2 linked regions of the Notamacropus eugenii genome follow. The protein of the gene in region 1 purifies or fractionates together with the protein of each later gene. This does not show direct contact. Links are inferred from orthologs where the notes say so. Each region holds a gene or a part of one and is shown on either strand. Other genes may lie near its edges. The genes, in order: G6PD and HARS1.

Evidence for each region.
Region 2: the proteins of G6PD (region 1) and HARS1 fractionate together in Homo sapiens (co-fractionation; 3 studies listed by BioGRID). This does not show direct contact. The link is inferred for Notamacropus eugenii from reciprocal best matches to the Homo sapiens genes G6PD and HARS1.

The regions. Positions count from the first base shown.
Region 1 is NC_092879.1:10,231,765-10,241,966, reverse strand, and holds the start of G6PD (glucose-6-phosphate 1-dehydrogenase), read left to right. Parts: upstream 1-4,957; 5' UTR 4,958-4,969; coding exon 4,970-5,240; intron 5,241-6,828; coding exon 6,829-6,956; intron 6,957-10,202. UniProt on the Homo sapiens protein: Catalyzes the rate-limiting step of the oxidative pentose-phosphate pathway, which represents a route for the dissimilation of carbohydrates besides glycolysis.
Region 2 is NC_092872.1:368,090,003-368,100,412, reverse strand, and holds the start of HARS1 (histidine--tRNA ligase, cytoplasmic), read left to right. Parts: upstream 1-5,840; 5' UTR 5,841-5,935; coding exon of another isoform or gene 5,936-6,025; 5' UTR 6,026-6,090; coding exon 6,091-6,276; intron 6,277-6,402; coding exon 6,403-6,492; intron 6,493-7,452; coding exon 7,453-7,572; intron 7,573-7,989; coding exon 7,990-8,085; intron 8,086-9,310; coding exon 9,311-9,436; intron 9,437-9,934; coding exon 9,935-10,042; intron 10,043-10,259; coding exon 10,260-10,358; intron 10,359-10,410. Other genes in the region: histidine--tRNA ligase, mitochondrial-like, read right to left, coding at 1-35, 569-662, 1,222-1,320, 1,566-1,673, 1,785-1,910, 2,320-2,415, 2,526-2,645, 3,092-3,166 and 1 more. UniProt on the Homo sapiens protein: Catalyzes the ATP-dependent ligation of histidine to the 3'-end of its cognate tRNA, via the formation of an aminoacyl-adenylate intermediate (His-AMP). Plays a role in axon guidance.

The sequences.
Region 1 (10,202 bases):
GATGGGAGGCTGAATCAGATCACTTCTAAGGTTCTTTCCAACACAGAAATCCTGTAACTATAATTCTATGTATACCTGATATTCTATAAGACAGGTTCCTGAAGACTTACATGAGCTGATGCTGAGTGAAGTGAGCAAAACCAGAAGATTATACCCTGTATAATATACAGCAATACCGTACGATGATCAACTTTGACAGACCTATCTCTTCTTAGCAATGCAAGGATCTAAGACACCTCAAAATGACTTTATTTCTCTATGTGTATTTTCTCTGAAGTTCAGGGTGCTTTTTCCCCTGCACTAAGTGAATGTTATATGTGCTTGATTAAAGTGATTCCTGACCCCTCAAAAGTTGCTTTCCTTTCAGAAAAGCAGATCTAAGAACCTGTACAGCAGGCCTTCCTGTGTATATCAGGGTCCTTGCTGTTACACTAATGTGAAAACATATTTAATATGAATGTATATGTAGAGTCTGTATCAGACTGCATGCCATCTGCGGGGGAGGGGAGAGATGGGGAGAAATTAGGAACTCAAAATCTTATGGGAGTGAATCGTGAAAACTAAAGATAAATAAATAAAGACACATGGGGGGGGGCCTCGGAGCTGGGCACAAATCAAATGGGAAATGCACTTAAGGAGCTAATGATTAAAAAGAACCCAGTGGAAAATCCTTTTCTAAAGGACGCAATCCTCTGGTAATGAATCATCATCCCCATATTTTATGTGTTTCATAAGAATATGTATTTGTTTATTAAATTCTCTGCAAATGATTAAGCCAGAGCTCAAAAAGACTGTGGGGACTATGAGATAGTACAAAAACTGAATCCTGTAACCCCAGAGGGTCAAGGCATCCTTCATCTGGAGCTGGAAGTGACCTCAGAAGCCATCAAGTCTAAGTCCCTCTCATTTTGGACAAGAGGCCCAGAAAAGTCAAATGACTGGCTTCAGGTTGCACAGCTAGTGGTGTTCAGAGAGGCCATAGTTAACCCGGCACTGACTACAGAGCCAGGAGGCTGCCTTGTGGGCATGCAGTCCAGAGTCCTACCTCTATGACACCCTTTCCTGTCTCTGCTTGAGCGATGTCCAAACTATGCCTCTGCTTCCACTTCTCAATCCTTTGCCATCTGCTTGTGACATCAACTCAATTGAAACTGCTCTTTCCAAAAATCCAATAATCTCTCAATGGCCAAATCTCATAGTCAGGTTGATCAGGAAAACAAGGGGTGACAAAAAGGCCTTTTTAGCTCTATCAGAGGAAACTCAAGACCCATGCTTGGAGTGAAGACCAGAGGCATCAAACCCAGTAGGTCCTGCAACACTCCCACTCCCAGCAGGAAAACAGATTTACATGTAATTGGGACGTGTTTAACAAAATAAATAAAAATACAATGAAACATAGATAATGTAAATGTGTGGTTTTTTCCCCCCTCTGAGCCGCTGCTGCTGCCCTACCCTGCCTCTGCAAAGAAGAGGAGAAGGCAGAGCTGCCAGATTCTTTGCTCCTGTTCTCTCGGAAAATAATGGTGACAAAATGAGTTACTAGGAAGTCAAAGGGAGCGTACCTAGTTACCCCCAATGAAGTCATCACCTGGTCCACATCAATCATAAAAACAGGCAGATGTGGACAAACAAAAGAGCAGAGAAAAGAGGAGAAGCACTGTATAGTTGAAATAAGGCAAATGCCTCAATTTTCCAAAAAGGTAAGAGAACAAAACATGCAAAAACACATACCAGTGAACTTGACTCCCATCCTCAGGGAAATTCTCCCACATCGCTAAAGAGAGGCTTAGTGAACATCTACATGTTGCATGGGGAAGGGGGGCTACCAAAAGTCAGCATCAAGGCTTTTTTTTGACAGTTATGAGACTGATTGGGAGGATACTACATAGTTTACCTAGGTTTTAATAAAGAGTTTTAAGACGTATCTCCTGCTATTCTTGTGGAAAAGACAGAGCTACATGAATTAAATGACAATACAAGAAGAAAGATTTAGAACTGGTTCAACAGCTAGACTCAGTTCAGTGAATCTGATGCCAACTTGGCAGGCTATCAGCAGTAGAGTGGGCCAGAACCATGTTTGGTCTATGCTGTTAAACAGAATTTTAGGCCTCTAGGTGGCGCAGGGCATAAAGACCTGGATCTGGAGCAAAGAAAGACCTGAGTTGGAATTCTATGAGGATTCCTTAGCTGGGTGATCCCAGGCATGTCACTTTTCCAACCTCTCAGTTTTCTCAATAGTAAAATAGAAATAACAGCACCTGCCTCCAAGGATCGTAGTGTGGATCAAATCAGATAATATGTATTAAAGTGCTTTGCAAACTTTAAAAATGTTAGCTGCGATTATTATTACCAATGACTTAGATACAAGACAGCATGTGCATGAAAAGTACAAATCACTACAAGGAGTATTGCATTTGGCGTACCTATTTAAGGACAGCATTGTTAAGAAGGAAAGCAACCAGGATGGCAAAAGGCCTAGAGTTTCCCCATCATATCATATCATCACAGGCTGAAAGAACTAGGAATGCTTAGCCCAAGGAAAAAAGCCTGAGGGGCAAGGAAGATAGCTGAGCTCAGGAAGAGAAATTCTATGGGGGCTATTTGGTCCCAGAGTGCAGAAGCAAGCTCAGTGTCAGGAAAAATTTCCTAATGGCTGGAGCTACCCCAGGAAGTTAACAAGTATTTCTTTATGAAATGCCTATGTGCTTGGTCCTGTGTTAAGTGTCCCAAATGGTGGGTTTCCCCTTACTGGAGATCTTCAAGCTGAGGTTGGATGACCAGCTATATTAGACAGGATTTCTACTGGACAGGGGCAGAACTAGGTGGCTCCTGAGGCTCCTTCCAACTGTGAAATTCTGTGAGCAAACTTAGGCAGATTGAGTCCAAAGCATCCCTAAATTATACTACAAATTATATCATTTTCAATCAATTAATCAATAAACATTTATTAATCACCTACTATGGGCCAAGCTATACAGAGTATGTGGAAGTAGCTAGGTGGCTCAGTGCATAGAGCGCTAGGTCTGGAGCCAAGAAGCTGTTGTTGTTCAGTAGTTTTTCAGTCATGTCCCACTCTCCATGATCCTACTTGGGGTTTTCTTGGCAAAGATACTGGAGTGGTTGCTATTTCCTTTTCCAGCTCATTTTACAGAAGAGGAAACAGAGGCAAGTCACTTTTGTCTTAATCCACTGGAGAAGGAAATGGCAAACCATTCCGGTATCCTGGCCAAAAAGAACAGAACATAAATGAATACCAATGAGCCAGGAACCATGCTAACCTGAGGATACAAAGAGGCAAAAGACAGTCTTCTGCCTTCAAGGACCTTATGATCTAGTGGGCAAGGTCCTTTCCAGCTCTAACCCTGCATTGGTCTGAAAAGATGAAGTGGAAAGTTAGCAGCTAACTAAAATTGACATAGTGCTTACTATGTGTCAGTCACCTTTACAATTATTATCCCGTTTGATCTTCACAACAACTCCAGGAGATAAGTGCTATTATTCTCATTTGACAGATGAAGAAACTACGGCAAACGGAGGTTAAGTGACTTGCCTGAGTCACACACTAGCCAGTGTCTAAGGCGATACTTGAACTCGGGTTTTCCAGACCCTCCAAGTCCAATGGCATGGCAGTGCCACTTCGATGACTCCAGAGAAGGGTGCCCCCTTAGTGCCACAGCCTTATCCCGTTATTATCACCATTAATGAGCTCACAATTACATAGTTTTCCACAAGTTGTGGCATCTGATCCCCAAAACAAACTTAGGAGGTAGCGTCCATTATTGTCATACCCATTTTACAGATGAAACATCAGAGGTTCAGGAACTTGCCCGGACTCACACCGTTAAGTGGGAATCCCATCAGAAGTCTAGAAAGATGGTGGCAAAAAAAAACCTGCTCTTTTCCTTCACATTCTCCCCTCTCCCAGAATTACGAAGAATGACTGGGCGGGGGCGGCGGCGACGGGGGGAAGGGGAGAGAAATTGGGCCAATGGGGAGTCAGTTACCCTGAGGCCAACCCCAAAACCTCGGACGGCAGCGGTGGCCCAGATGAGGCAGGAGAGGCTGAACATGGCAGAGCAGAGTGAAGGGACAGGCGGCGGGAAGGGGCTAAGGGGCGGGGCCGCCATGGGCGGGGGCGGGGCCCAAGGGGCGGGGCCTGGGCGTCCGACTCACCCCGGAGGCCGGAGACTCGGGCCTTCAGGCTTCAGCTTCGGCCCCACCGGGGCCCGGGGAGCCGCCAGGCCCGGCCGGGCCGAGCCTGAGTCCACACGCCACGGACGCAGCCGCGAAAACTACACCGAAGGTAGCGACGGAGGCCCCCCCCAAGAATCCGCCAGCTCGGGTCCCAGCCGACGGCTCCGAAGCCCGGACTCCTCAGCGACTCCTCCCCACCCAACACCCACTTCCGGATTGTGCCGGAGGGCTGCGGCAACCCGGAAGTGCAAAAGTGAAAGCTTCGGAGTCCCTCAGACTGTCTCCGCCCCTTCCTCTGGCTGTCTCCGACCTCCAGGGAGCGAGGACTGAACCAATAACGCCTTTGGCGGGGGTGGGGGGAAATTTACCCTGTGTTTCCCGTGCCAGGGCCCACTTAGGTCTAGAAAGAAATCCTAGGCACTAAGCTATCTTCTAGAGCATCTGCTTCCTCCTCCTAGTTTCGGAACGATCTCTTCTGTCACCTTAAGTGCCCCTGACTATGCACTTTATCAGTTCCCCTCCCCACTCCAGGCCGGTATCAGAAAACTAGGAGGAGTGAGAGGAACGAGGGGCGGAGTTCTTGAGGGGGGGGGGGGGGGGGGGAAAATAAGCAAAGGGGCGGGGCTTCCGGCTAGAGATGGGAGACCTCGGCTTGGCGAGAAGAACAGGGAGCGTGATCTGAGAAGGGCGGGCCCATGGCCGGCTCGGGGGGCGTGGCCACGTCGCAGGCGGAAGCGGCGAGCCGGGCGAGGCCACGTGGGGGTGGGAGAGAGAGATGTCGCTGAGGAGGCGGGCTCTCCTGCGCCTGAAGCGCGAGGTGCGGAATCCCAGGTCTGGATCGGAGCCAAAGCCGGGGGAGCAGGGAGGGCCGGGGCGGAGTCAGGGGCCAACGGGGCTGGGCCAGGGGGAGGAGATGGGGAGTCGGGCGAGTGTAGCCGAACTGCACTCGGGCAGACGAGGCATTAACCCGAGCGCAGCAGCGGGCCCGGTCGTCTCCCTTCCTCTGCCGGATCAGCAAGTGACCCAGGATCCGGAGGCGAAGACTGGTGAGGAGGCCCCCGGCCTGCCCAACCCCAACCTCCTCCATCCTCAGCCCCGCCCTGCATCCTGGCCTCTGTCCTGAGCTCTCCATCCTAATAGCCTTTCTCTTAAGCCTCTGCAGTTCCCTCCTTCGACTTAGTCTCCAGGCTCTTTGATCCTCTTTACCCAAGCATCCTCCCTCATCTCCTTCCTCCGAACCCTGGTCAGAAGGCTGTTTCTGCATTGATTGATGACCTTCCTGTTCAGATAAGATACTGTACTCTTTCCCATCTCAGCCCTGGCCTGGCTTTCTTGCCCCTTGTAGATTGTCTCTGGGGGCCTAGATCTAAAGGAAAGTTTCCTCTATATCCCCTAAGGGGTTTTAGCTTAGGCATGTGATCAAACTGACTACTGGAAATACTCTGCTTCTCCTACCTACCTATCAGGGAGAACCTCTAACCCTTCGGAACCATCCGCTGAGGGAGATCAGATCCCACTGAGGTCCTAGGGAAGTTGAAACAAGCCCCAACAGGTAGCAACAATCGAACCTGTGGCAGGGGTCTGGCTGAACTGCAGTTAGCTGGATTTGGACCCTGGTGGTAGTGGCATAACCCCTTGCGGAGAAGGTTGTCTTTTTGCTCTAGGTTCTCCCTTGAGACTTCTTTTTAAAAACAAAACAACCACGCACCTGCAACAGTCTTCTTCCACAGTCCAGTGCCTTGCTGATGCAGATGCCAGATAATGTTGCATCCTGAGGATTTTCCAAAGTAGTGACTGTGAGGACTGGGACAGGCCAGTTTTAGAAATAGGAGAGACATCAGAAAAGGCCAAGAAGAAATAATATTTTGTGCTTGGTTATACTGGTCATATGGCAAAAAATATACAAGCTGGATGGAAATGTACAGATCAGTCAGTCTAGCTCCCTTAAAAGGGAAGCAACTTTGGACTCCAAGAGAAATAAACTTGTCCAGGGTCACAGACAGTGACTGAGTCAGAACTAGGCCCCTCCCCCACCCCGCCCCCTACTCCCTACCACCCCCACCCCCACCCCCACCCCTATCATCTTCAAAGCAAGAGGATAAAGGAGCTAATTAGCATTCTGCCTGAGACTGGGACCCATTATCTTCAAAGCAGAAGGAAGATCAGTGAATTAATAATGTTCCTGCTTAGGTCCTGATTTTCTAGTCGACATTAACCCCCACCTGTGATCCTGCCCCTCAAGCTATGAACACCTTGAACTAGAATCCCAGATGAGAGGCTCCAGCTTGAACTCATCCTCCAGACATCCACTTTGGAAAGAAGGGGGGGGGGGGGAACACCACTTTGATCCCCAGACTTAGCCATTGAGTATCCTGACCAAACGTAGGATATTTAAAATGGGCTTAACAGGTACAAAATGTGACTGCTGGAAGCCTCCTCAGATACCCTCAAGGCATCAGAAACCTAACGTTTTTTATCCCTTCTCCTAAACTCTGAACTGGTAATTGCTTCTTGGAGATACCACTTGAAATCTGGGCTGCCTGGGGAGTTCACTTGTCCCTCTTAGGGGGAGGGGCAATGACCTTCCAACTCTCTCTTTGCCAGAGCTCCCTCACAATCCTTTCATTCCTCTAGAAAACAACATGGCAGAGCAGGTGGCACTGAGCCGGACCCAAGTGTGTGGAATTCTCCGGGAAGAATTGTACCAGGGTGATGCCTTCCACCAGTCAGACACACACATATTCATCATCATGGGAGCCTCGGTGAGTCACTCTGGGCCTCAACTTTCCTCGTTTGTAGTATGAAGGAGCTGGGACTCACCCCACTTCTGGCTCCAGATTCTCTGTTCCTACCTGCGCACTCACCTCACAGCTTCTGCTCAGCATAAGTCCTCGGTCTCCCAGTATCTCCAAAGGCCCAGTTCCTTCTGTTCTGTTCTTTGGGCCCTCTGTTGAAGATTATTTTCATACTATCTTGTTTCTCCTGATTTCTTGTCCTGGCGTCAGGGCAGTGATTATCACCCTCATTTTATAGATGAGGAAAATAAAACCCAAATTACTAACGTGATTTTTTTACCCCCTGATGTCAAGAGCAAGTTAGTGTTAGGCAGGTTTCCAGCTTCCCAGGCTAGAGCTTTTTGTTTTTCCCCTCAAAATCAGGGTGTAGAGGACAACTTGTGGAGAGGCTGGTAATAGGGGAAGGAGGGAAGGCTACTCCCTAAGGCTGGTGAGACTTTCTTGAGGGCAAATGGTGTCGGAAAGGTCGTGGGTCATTCTTGCTTATCAACTGAGTGGTTATCTTGCTTATCTTTGTAATTTCTTCATCTAACCTGGCTCAGTCTTCTCCAGGCCTGGTTTGAATAGACTGATAAGGGGCTTTTTTGGGGCCCCTTAAGGGTTACTAAATACCCCACTATTTCCCTCTGACTGAGCCCTGTGACCCCAGGGGTGTTTGAAGTCCTTCAAAGGAATGTCATCATGGTTTGGGTTGGTTGTTGGTTTGTTTCTGGGGTGCTGAAAGGAATACTCTTCTAAATTAACTGATTGGAGACTTGGAAGGAAAGCCCCACCCCTGTACCAGGGGTTAGAAGCCCCTGTTCCCCAGTGTCCTCTTCACCAAGTTTCATTTAGAATTCAGGGTTTGGGCTTAAACTTGCACTTATCACCCCAGACCTGCTCTAGGATCATTTGTTCTTCAAGTTTGGTAATGCTCGTTGGCATTTCCAGAGTGCTACAAGGTTTGCCAAACACTTTTCTACCTTTCTCAGTGCTTCTATGGGCCTCCTAACCATGCTGGCATTTCTGATTGAGAGCTCTGATCCCCAAGGTAAAGGCCTGAGGTGGAATTCAAACTCAGCCCTTTCCAACCCTAATCCTTCCTCACCAATGCTGGGTCCCTCCAGCCGGGCCAGGGCATTGGGGATTTTGCACTCTGAAATGACAAAGTGGTGCTTCCTGAGGGCCATTAGTAGCTTATGGAGTGTGCAGAGAGTGGAATGAGTTGGCAGAAGAGGGCAAGAGTAAAGAGAAGCCTTTCCTTCTCTTTCCCTGGCTTTCACCATGCCCTTCTTGGTTTCAAGTACCTCTGTTCCTGTAAGTCACTGTTTCCCAACCTTTGTCAGTCCAAGGTCTTGCTATCTATTGACCCATTTCATATAAGTAAAATAATATTATTTCAATGGGAACCTCTGTGGTCCCAAAGGAATCCATTGAAAGTACTCCGTGTAGCCCCCAAAATCTCTCCAAGTCCATGCCCACAACTTTCCACTCCCAGGAGTGCTTCAGTCCTCCAAGCAGTTATTAAGAGTCTATAGGATGTCAGACATATAGGGGATATAAGGGCAAGAGAGAACCAGTCCCTGCTTCCAGGGAATTTAGGTCCGAGAAGACTCTGTGTGTGTGTGTGTGTGTGTGTGTGTGTGTGTGTGTGTGTGTGTGTGTGTGTGTACACCAAATGAATATAAGAAAGTATAGAGATGAAGGGGGGATCCTAACAGTTGTAGGGACCAGGAAAGTCTCCATGGAGAAGATGGTGTTTAGGCTGAGGCTTCAAGGAAGTAGAGAGATTCTAAGAGGCAGAGAAGGCTTGGGGAATCCAAAGGCATGGATGGAAAGATGCAGAGTGGAGCAGGAAGACAGCCACTTTGACTCAACTAGAGTTAAGGAGAAAAATGTCTAATGAGGCTGGCAAGTGTTAGGCAGGTTTCTAGCTTCCCAGGCTAGAGCCTTTTGTTTTTCCCCTCAAAATCAGGGTAGAGAGGGCAACCTGGGCTGATAAGGGGCTTCTTGGGGATTGGGAAGGGCTTTTTCAATGTCAAGCATCATTCACTAAGCACTAGGATAAAGAGCCCCCAAAAGATAGTTCTCACTTTACAGTAAAACCAGTTACACCAGTTCAACTCCTGGGCTGGCAGCAGTGGCAGGACCCACAGAGCCATGGGTGGTCTGTAGATCAGTCTACTTACCTTAATCGAGAACTGGCTGGAAAGTCCTTGTATTCCAGAAGGTCAGATTCTGTGTGAGCAGAGGGAACACCACGGAGATAAAGAATTCAACAGAAAATATCTACAAGGAGTTCATTATTGAGAAGGTGTGCCTAGGGCTAATATGATTGAAGGAGGGCTCCGGGGGACACTATGGAAGGGGAGGAAAAAGGAGACTAGAGACAGACATAGGAAGGATGGAACTCAAATGGATGATAGGAAGGAGCTGAGAGTGCCCTGATCAGCCTCAGGCTCAGAATCCCAGAATCCCTCTCTGTGGCTGCCTTGTCCCTCCTTTTTGTTCCAGCATCTCTGGTTATCAATCCCTAAGCAAAAACTAGAAAGTAAGGTAGCAGTCCCTGGTTCTGCAGGGTAGCTGAGGCAGGGATTGGTGACATCCTTACTAAATCTTGTTTTAAAAACACTTTGATTAATAAGCTGGGTGATCTGCTTTCCCAGTCGACATCAGTGATTAGACCCAGAAAATTACAAGTGAGGATAAAGGCTGCTAGAGAGAGGGAGAAAACAGAAAGTGGATATACTTCAGTAAAGCAGAGCTCCATGGGGCTCAGTAGCTGGGGGTAGGGGCCTGCATTCTAGGCCAGAAAGGTCATGGACATTCAGCCGCCATTATTGTCAACTTTAAGACGTTAACTTAGATTTGTCATCCTCTGAAGAAGTCTATGTGGGCAGTTAGGTGACACAGTGGTGTATCAGCAAGCACCCCAACATACACAGGGGGGCCTGCTATCACAGGTTCTTAGATCTGCATTCATAAAAGGAAAGGCAACTTTTGAGGGGTTAGCAATCACTTTAATCAAACACATGTATCATTCCTTTAACCAAGCACATATATCATTCACCTAGTTCAGGGAAATCAGCACTCTGAACTTCCAAGAAAATACAGAGAAATCAAAAGATCAACAGACATGGCTTCCTCTGCCTGAATTCAACAAACAATTGGACCCCAACCATCCAGCCATAGTTACCAGAGAGGGAAACATGACTTCTTGATCTTGGCTGGTGG
Region 2 (10,410 bases), on another chromosome or scaffold:
ATCCTGCAGTAGCTGCTCTACTAGGGACACTCCACCTGAGAAAGTCAAACATAAAAGTCAGATAGACAGGGGAAACAGGATCTTTAGAATTCATCCAAACAAGTCTACACAACCAAAAAAACAAGATGAATAAAACAATAAAAATAGCTAGCATTCAAACTGCTTTACATATGTTATTTATTCTTCATATCAACCTGTGAGGTAAGCAGTACAGAGATTATTAACTCCATTGCATAAATAAGGAGAGACTCAGAAAGGTTAAATCACAAAACCATATGCATCAAAGGCAAGATTCTAATTGAGGTCTTTCCTAATTTCAAGTTCAGTGTCCTTTTTACTCTAATCACGAACTTTCCAAAAAAATCCAAACTATGGTGCTGTTATTCCTCTGCTTCTGTTTTCTTCCTTCTAAAGAAGCAAAAAAGACAGGAAAAGCTGAAATAAGTTCAAGACCAGCTTTTTCCTGAGGGATCTGTCTCTCTCTAGAAAAGTGGGCTCAATGTTAGATATGCAGCAGATCTAGTCCCTATCATATATACATCTAATTCTTGGGGAACCTGCTTCTTACCATGCTGCTGGATGTAAACCCCAATGCTATCTGCCACTTCAGGGGCCAAAGCCATTTTTCCTACAATCTCTTGTCTCACGTCCTTCCAGGACATCTGCAGATAGAGAAATATTAGCTCATATCCAAGACCCTGCTTTCTTTTGTAACAAGAGGCATTATAATTCAATCAGTAGACATTTGAATGCCTACCATGTGCCTAAAATCTGACAAGAGTCAGGACAGCGTAACAGATACAGCAAAAACCTACAGTTCAGGAAAGAACTAAGTTGGAATTTTGTTTTCAACAATTACTAGTTATGTGCCCCACAGCAAGTCGCTTAAACTGCTTATTCCCTAAACTGCAAAGTAAGGATAATGATAATTTTAATGGATTCCTCATAGGATTGTTGCAAGGAAAGCACTTTGAAAACCTTACATTTCTGTGTTAAAGTGAACTATTATTAGGTGAAGAGGTAAACTTCAATTAAGGACTGAAACCAGGTCACGATTTAGTTAAACTTTCTCTTTACAATATCTCTTTACAATAACTTTCTTTAAGTAAATAAGATAGTTTACTTTACACTGTTCTTTAAGTTTCTGAAACACAACGGCCCAGAAAGACGTAAGCCACAAAATCTTAGATGAGGGAAAATGAAAAGATATTCCTTTGTTACCTTGCCCAGCTTATCCACCAAAGCAGAGATAAATCGGAATTTGTTATCAGGGACACCACAGGCAGCCAACATCCCATCCAGAATTCGCCTGTCATTCACCTGTGAATCCCATATGCACCAGATACTCCATCAACACCTATTCTCAAAAGAGAGATCCATCCATTCTTCTTTCCCAGTGATTCCCTTTAGTAAAAGGAGAAGGGAAGCCCTGCAATCAGACTATAGCAGAAACAGCTGCTAAAGCCAAGGGATAAAGTTGGGACCATCATGAAGAAAAGAGGAGAACCTAAAGGAAATAATCTCAGGTCATGAACACCCCCCTCCTCTTTTGTTTTCACATTCACCTTAATTAAGAAGTCCCCCAACTGCAATGCATTTAGGATTTCATGTATGATCTTTAAACACTCTGCATCAGGGATCATGGGATCAAAATGACCTGCAATGTCAAAATCCTGTAGCAAAAGCAAACAGTGAAAATTTGAAAATCCTCTAATTAAACCTGGGTTACCAGTGGCATTGCTCAGAGAACTCCCTCCTCACTGTCCACTGACCCAGTCACTCACACATTGGCAGAACTCCCGGTATCGACCTTGGGTTATGGAGGGACTCTCCCGTCGCCACACCTTCCCAATGTGATAGCGTTTCATCTTCTTTATCTTATTCATGGCCAAGTAACGAGCAAAAGGGACCTCACAAGAAATGATTAAGGAAAAAGCACTCTCCCTTCCAGAACTGGTAACCAACTGCATCTACACAAATCAGATACTAGAGAAATTCCTATCTCTGCAGTAGATTCCAACATCATCTTGTCAAACTGAAAATTCAGGGAAAGGGAAACAAGGATCTAAGTGGTTTAAGACCCCTGGGATCCTTCCTTCCTATGCACCTCAATCCTTAATTCTCCCAGATTATTTAAGTTTGAAAGCCTGATTTTCACCATTACCTTCAGTCCTTACTTTACTGTGGACATGCTTCCTTGAGCCATCTAACATAAAACAGAAATCAGAGCTCCAGATATGACTATGACATCTACAATTCCCTCCCTTGACTTGGGAAAGGACAGTCTGGGATAAAGTAAAACAGTTCTTAGAAGGATACTGTGAGGTCATATCGAAGAGCCAGGAGCTCCCCACCCTGATCCTTCAGGTCATAGATGAGTCTGGAGTCCTCTCCATACTTCTCTGTTAGCACTTCCTGGACAAACACAAATCTATAGCTTAAAAAATATGGTTTGGGATACTGGAGGCTAAGAAAGGAAGAATTTCAATACTACTCCTCCCTCCCCCGCTTTTTCTTTCTGTCACCTTTAGTTCAAATGCTGGAGTGTCTAGCCCTTTAGCTCCATGGCGCTTGAAGCAGCTGATGATAGCATTAAGGATTTTCTCTCGAATAGCCATCTGTTGAGGGCTAAGATCTCTGGTACCCTATGAGCCAAAAGCAACCAGAATAAAGGGAAGAAGGTGAAAAGTTTAAAAACAAATTGTACAAATTTGTAGGAAATTTCCCTGCAGGAAACAGGGAAGGATGAATAGACCTTACAACAATGGTTTATACTTTTAAAGCACTTTTAAGGTTTGTAATGCACTTTACACACTCTCTTCTCACAATAACCCTATGAGGTAAGTACTGCTATCATCCCCATTTTACAAATGAAGAAACTGAGAAGTGAAGTATCCTGAGAAAAGTTACATAGTTAGTAAATGACTGACGTAGGATTCAACCCAGCTCTTTCTGACTCCAAGTGCAATCTATCCACCATATGATACGCTAATTCACTGCAAGGTCCCACCTCAGGTAAGGGCAGACTGCTCTTCCCAAGCACCCAGGATACTGGAAAAGGAGACCAAAAAGGATGAGAGAAGAGGATTACCTTGGGAGTCTTGATAACAAAATTGGATTTCTCTTTATCTATTTCCGACTGAATCTTCAACCTGGCCTCTGCAAACTGAAAGGAAATGATTATGGCACGCTAAGCAAGAGATACTTATCTCTGACCCCCAGAATTTCTAGTCTTCCAGTTACAAGAAGAAAGTCCTACAGGCTCCACACTTGTGCCCGAATTGTGTTCATAAAGGATTTTGAATGAAGTCAGATCTTTTTCCCAGTGGCTCTCATTGTATTGATATCTCCATCCCACCATACAGCATGATTTACTCTCATTCAGTCAAACTCAGCTAGTCAATTCTACTCAAGACTTTTTGCTAACTGACACCCAAGGAAACTTAAGACCCAGAAACAAACAAGAACTTACAAAAAAAATAAATTTATGGCAAGACCAGAACCTAAAAAGACTCTAATTCTACATTCAAAATATAGTAATAAAAATGGCAGATCAGAAAGGTGACTCCCTACAAAAGGGCTATGGCCCTTTGGATCTAGATGGGTTCTTACAGAAAGTTGCTTTAAAATAAAGATACAAAAATAAACCAGATTATGATACAAGAATAATTTATTAGATTTTTATTTGTTAGCTTTAGATTATTAACTCCTCTACTGAGGCAGCTGGTGGCCCAGTGGCTAGAACACTGGGCTTACAGTCTATAAGACTTGAGTTCAAATCTGGACTCAGGCACTTACTAGCTGTGTGTCATCCTAGGAAAGTCACAATCTATTTGCCTCAGCTTCCTCAAATGTAAGATAGGAATAATAACAGCACCTACCTCTCAGGGATGCTGGGAATCAAATGAGATATTTGTAAAAAAGTGTTTAGAATAGTGCCTACCTAGCACATAGGAGGTGCTATATAAAGGCTTATTCCCTTCCATCTCCCCACCCCCCTCAAAGAAAAGGATGAAAGATTTGGTGCTGGAAGGGACCTTAAAGACCATCTAACTCATTTTAAATACAGATAAGGAAACTGAATTCTAGAAAGTTTTACTTAGCTTACCCAAGGTCATACAAGGAATTAGTGACAATTCAGATTTAAACTCAAGTCCTCTGAATCCAAATTCAACATAATTTTCTCTGCATCACAATATTAGACTGTAAATTCTTCAAGGGAAGGAACCCTATCATTTTTTTTGGCTCTATGTGTAAAAAAATGCAATTGAATGAAAAAATACTAGATTATAGCAGGCTATACAATAAGACTTTTTGGAAACCTGAGAAAACACAGAGTGGTACCTCAAGATAGTCCTATTTAATAACTGGGTGATTGATCATTTAATTTAAATCATTTAATTTCTCAGGGCAGCAATGTATTCATCTCTAACAATGATTACAGTAATAATTCACTTTTCTATAATTCTTTAACGTCTGCAATGTGTTTTCCAGACACCTGTAAAGTAAGGAGTGTGCAAGTATTATCCCTATTTTTAAAATGAGAAAACAGAAATTTAGAGAGGTTAAGCTTTCTAAATTTTAGGACCATAAAATCTCCAAAGAAACCATTATTACCTGCTTTGGCCCTTCATCACAAGGACCATGGGACCTTTCTATCTGATTTGCAATGAAAACATTCTGTATATGTGGTTTCCTCTACTAGAGGGTGAGCTTTTTGAGAACAGGGACTGCACAGCTTTTCTATTTGTATTCTCAGTGCTTAGCCCAGTGTTTTGAATTTAGTATGTGTTCATTCGGTACTAGAAAGGGCCTCAGAAGCCAATTATCTCAACCTGTACCTAAACAGGGATCCCCTCCATAATATGACAAACAAGACTTGCGTGAAGTCTTCATTCAAGTGAGGATTTCAAAGATTCCCACGGATGATTCCGCTGACAGTCCCGAGGCTCTCTGTACCATGAGTCTGAACAAAACGTATTGAAATAAAGGGATAAATTGACATCGCAGACTGTGGGGCTCCGTCACAAACACTAGGGGGCGAAGCACCGCGGTTCGTTTGCTCCAGATCCAAAGGCAGTTCTGCCCAACCAACCCCTCTGCCGCTGAGGGCCCACTTAGTTTAAACCTTCGCTTTACCGAAGAGGAAACTAAGGTCTTTAAAATAAATCAAGCGTTTTTAAATCTACTCATAAGGTAGGGTACACATTCAGAAGCTGGAGTCCTTGCTTTGAGCGGGCTCAACCACACAGGGGTAGAATCAGGCCGGGAACAGCTGGCGAGCCTGCCGGGGACCCCGACGGTTCTTCCCTTCCAACCCAAACTGGGGCCATATCGACCGATAAGCTGGGACAGTAGAGAAGCCAAGGAGCGCCCAGAGAGAAAGGGGGGAAGGCAGAACGTACCTCCCGCGCTGGAGGCTGCCCCAAGCCTCCTTGCACCCGGCGGAAAAGCAGCGTGGCCCCGGCGCAGGGGGCGCGGGGAGGTCGCAGCAACTGGAGGGCCAGTGCGGCCCAGGCCTCCCGAGACCAGGGTCCGAGGCGCTGCATGGCCCGGGGAGGGGGCTTCTCTTCCTGCGGTTCTGGGGTTCGTGCACACCCGCAGAGGGCTGGACACGGGGGGAAGGGGGAGGGAGGACTGGGGCAGAGAAGGCGCTTGGGCTGGGTCCAGGGAGTGAGAACGGGCTGGTCACCAGGTTAGGGAGGGGGAAACTGAGGCAAAGGGTGCCGGATGTTCCCATGCATCAAACCCGCCAAGGGGCAGGCAGGCTGCCAGAGCGGAGCGTCTCGTGGGAAAGGGTAGGGGATGGGCCGCTCTGGCCTCCAGACTTCCGCTCTTCCGGTTCAGGCGCCCGCCGGCCGGAAGCTGCCTCTGGGCGCGGTTCGCCGGCGGAGCTCTGGGGCCGCAGTCAGTGACAGCCGCGGCCGTTGCAAGGATGGCGGATCGAGCGGCGCTGGAGGAGGCTGTGAGGCTCCAGGGCGAGAGAGTGCGGAATCTCAAGCAGCAGAAGGCGGGCGCCGAGCTGGTGAGGGCCCCGAGAGGGCCGGATCGGGGCCCGGGGTGGACGGAGCTCTGGCTCAGGGGTCCGGTATGGAAGGAGGAAAGGGGCTGGGCGAGGGCCTTGACAGGGACGAGACTCGGGTCCAGAAGGCGACTCCCCCGCCGGCCTCGTTCCGATCCTTTGAGGAGCTCCACGTTCTTTCTTTGGCTTTAGCGTCACAGCGCCTGGGAGACTGCCGGTGCTTTGAATCCCATTGTATAGATGAGGAAACGGAGGTATGGAGGGAAAGTGACTGGCCTACGGTCTCACAGCTTGCTCTGAGTCAGAGGCCTGGAGGAGGGCCCCGGCTAGGGACCACATCCTTCCAAACTCCCGTGTTTATTGAGGCCTTTCCTTCGCAGATCGAGGAGGAGGTTTCCAAGCTCCTGAAGTTGAAGGCAGAGCTGGGCCCTGATGAAGGGAAACAGAAGTTTGTGCTTAAAACTCCAAAGGTAAATGTGTTTTTAGAGAAGCCTTTCCGAGGGTGTTTGATGAGCCTCACTGCATTGTCAGTTCGGTTTATTTTTATATATTGTGTTTTTTTCTTGGTTATATTTTGAGTTCCAAATCCTTTCTTTCTCCCTCTCGGCTCCCACTAGAGAAGACCAACATCTCTCACATACACACACACATGAGTGTGTGGTCAGTTCACTTTAACAAGTTCAAGACACTAATAGATACCGAAGATACAAAGGTGGCAATATTTAGACCCTACCTTCAATTAGACCCTACCTTCAAAAATTTAGTGACAGAAGCCCCAAAAGAAAATTAAATAAGTTCAAGAGGAGAGGTCTAGTCACGGTGCCACTACAGACTTAAAAACATGGCTTTCTCTTGGGAGGAAGAAGTGTTTAGCGTGTTTCGGAAAACAGACACTTTTGGGCATTCAGCTGGAATTGAGTTGTACCTGTGCGTTCTGTTTTTGTCAAGATAGGCAGGATTTTAGTCATCTCAACCTTTGGGAGAAATAACACTACTGCAGATTCTTAAGAACAGCAGCAACTCTTGTCTGTTGAAATATCTGCTTTTTTTTTCCCCACACTTCCCAATTAGTTGTTATAGAAATAAAATGTAGATTATCTTTAGGGATTCCATAGTTAATCAATTTTAAAAAATTTTTTATATTAAGACAGTTAACTTAAAAATCAACCAACCAAATATCCCTCTCCAAGCACAACTCTAATGCCAGAAGTTAAAAGCCTTCTTTTATTTAGATGATAGCTATCCTACCTAACCCCCTTCAGTCCATGCAGATTTGGCTTGGTGGTTAAAAGGAAATTAAATGCAATTCTGTTCCATTATAATTGAGATTATAAATGGAATACTTCTGAAATACCAACTCCTCCCGCTTTCTTATTACTGAGTTGCTTGTTTGCTTGCTTTTTTTCTCCTTTGATTATTTTGACTACTAGGGCACCAGGGATTACAGCCCTAAGCAGATGGCTGTTCGAGAGAAGGTTTTTGATGTGATCATCAGCTGCTTCAAGCGCCATGGTGCCGAAGTAATAGATACCCCTGTGTTTGAATTGAAGGTGAGGGCCAAGGCCAAGGGAGAAGCGTTTGGCAAAGAGATGGGGAGGAATGTAGAGCAGATACACAAGTCGATTAGATACCAATGGGATATAGTCATGAGGGATCAACTATTAAGATGGGTGTAGACAAGCCCAGCCCTATTCCTGATGTACAGGAACTTGATTGATGTTTAAAAGTAGGAACCAACATAATTTTCCCACATTGATTTCTGTGGCTGTGGTTCCTGTTTTGGATTGATGTTTTTATTGGGGGGTAGTTGCAACCATAAATATTCTTGAAGTCCTCCAACAGAACACCCTACAGGGCAGTTGATTGTTTGCACCTCTTATGTTATTAGGGATATGCAATTAGGCATCTTTATCCAGGGTTAGGCACAGCCAATGAAATAATCATATATTTTCATCTTTTCCTTCCAGGAAACACTAACTGGAAAGTATGGGGAGGACTCTAAGCTCATCTATGACCTAAAAGATCAGGGTGGTGAGCTGTTGGCTCTTCGTTATGACCTCACCGTATCCTTTCAAAGTGAGCTCTAGGATGCTGTCGTTTAGACTGGACTTTAATTGACAGGAGGTGATGGAATCCTCAGATTCAGAGAACATTGGACATGGATAAGAAGAAATTCTTGAATAAGTGATCCAAAGAATCAGTTGGAGAACGAGTTAGATGAAGTCCCTCTCTAAAACAGAGATGCAAATTCTAATTAGCTGGGCCCACCCCTAGGAAGACCATTCAAGAACTTAATATAGTGCCAGGGCTCACATCTGAATCCATTATAAATTGCCTGATTCTGGAAAACCATTCTTTGCCTGTCTTGAAGACTGTTTAGACCATTGAGTAGATCTTCAGTAAAGAATGATGTTCTGTTTTAATTGTTCCAGAAAAGCAGTCATAATATGGGTCCGGTGGGCACTAAGCATAGTGCAGGGTTTCTTCCATATTAGTATTTCTGCAGTGTCAGGTGTCGTCCCTTTGAGTATTCCAAGGTTCCGATAACTCTTGCTAGGGTAATCCAATTGCACAAGGAGCCTGGGGAGAGTGTGGCCACTTTGTTTTCAGATAGCTTCTTCTGGTGTAATTGTAATTGTTACTCTTTTTCTTAGGAATCCTGAGGGTCTTCCCCTCCCAGTTTGATTTTTTTTTTATTATGTCATCATCTTGATGACATGGTACTCTTCGAGAACGAAGGACAAACACAAACCTTGAGTGAGTAGCAGCTCCTCTGCTCTCCTCTCCTCTGTGTTCTGCCCAGAGGAAAGTAAACTCTGTGGCCAAAGCTGCCTTTTTGCCTCTGGGTTTACTGGCTACATTTTTTGCTCAAACAGCAAGCCTTAAACACAATTCATTCTGGAGTTCATAGACTGCACAACAAGTCCCCTCCCAGTTTGATTTTTTTTTTTTATTAAAGGGGGCCATCCCTTGAGCAACTTAAAGAAGCCTATTCATTGAATGGGTGTATCTCACTCAAAGTAAGATGTGAAAGGGTCAGGGTCTCACATTTCATCCTAGGCCATCTCCAGTTGCCCTGTTGAATATCAGGCCACTGGACCCAGTTAGCTCCAGAGGAAAAGTGAGGCTGGTGACCTTGCACAGCCCTCCCACACTGGAATCAAAGTCAACTGCAAGTCATGTCATCATCTTGATGTCATGGTCTTCTTTGATAATGAAGGACAAACTCAAGCTGGTGGTAGTAATTATCTCTGAACAAGAGGAACTTTCTCCTTAACCCATCAACAGGTTCCTTTTGCTCGATACCTGGCAATGAATAAACTGACCAACATTAAACGCTACCACATTGCAAAGGTGTACCGTCGAGATAATCCTGCAATGACTCGTGGCCGTTACCGGGAGTTCTACCAGTGTGTGAGTGTCCCAGAGCTAAGAAAGCTCAGGGCATTGAGTCCTCACTGAGATCAGTTAGAATTTAGTTAAGTGTTCACTTTCCTGAGCAGCATATATAGACATGATACCTGTGTCTAGATACGTCAGGATGACAATATATGATGAGGAGCTAAAAATGAAGATGTGAAAACCAGCTGTATGCACATCAGAATTAATTAAAGCTCTAGTCTGAGCAGGGAAAAAGTGAATAAATGGCTAAAGGAAAAGCACGTGCAGGGAGATTTCACCAAAAGAGATGATGGAGATGAATAGGAAATAGAGTAAAATAGCATAGTCGTAAGAGTTTCATGACTGTGTCATCTTCCAGGTTTGGAAGGGCAGTGAAAGGGATCAGTAAGGTCTGTAGTCTTGCATATGAGGGAAAGGACATTGCCTGTGGGGGTCTGGAGGCTCTGGAGATTTGGGGGCTGGAAATTGGTCCTCTTGACTCAGGGCTCCTTCCTGTCACTTTTTATGCAGGATTTTGACATTGCCGGGCAATTTGACCCCATGATCCCTGATGCAGAGTGTCTGAAGATCATCTGTGAGATCCTGAGCGCGCTTCAGCTGGGGGACTTCCTTATCAAGGTGAAAGGAAAGACTGTCTGCCCTGGTGGTAGTAATTATGGCGCTAACAATCAGGAGTGAGTAGCAGTCCTGGTCTTCCCCTCTTATGGCTGAACTCTCCTGTCCAACCTGGAGAGGCAAAAATAGACCTTTAGAATACTATAGTTATCATGGATCTTGAAGGGAAGAAGTTAAAGGTGGGTATTTCCACAACTCAAAGTAATTTTGGAATTTTCAGGTGAATGACAGGCGAATTCTGGATGGAATGTTCAATGTCTGTGGTGTTCCTGACAGCAAGTTCCGTACGATTTGCTCTTCAGTGGACAAGCTAGACAAGGTGACAACTAACTTACTTGTATAGCTCCTACTTCTTTCCCCTGAAAGTTACC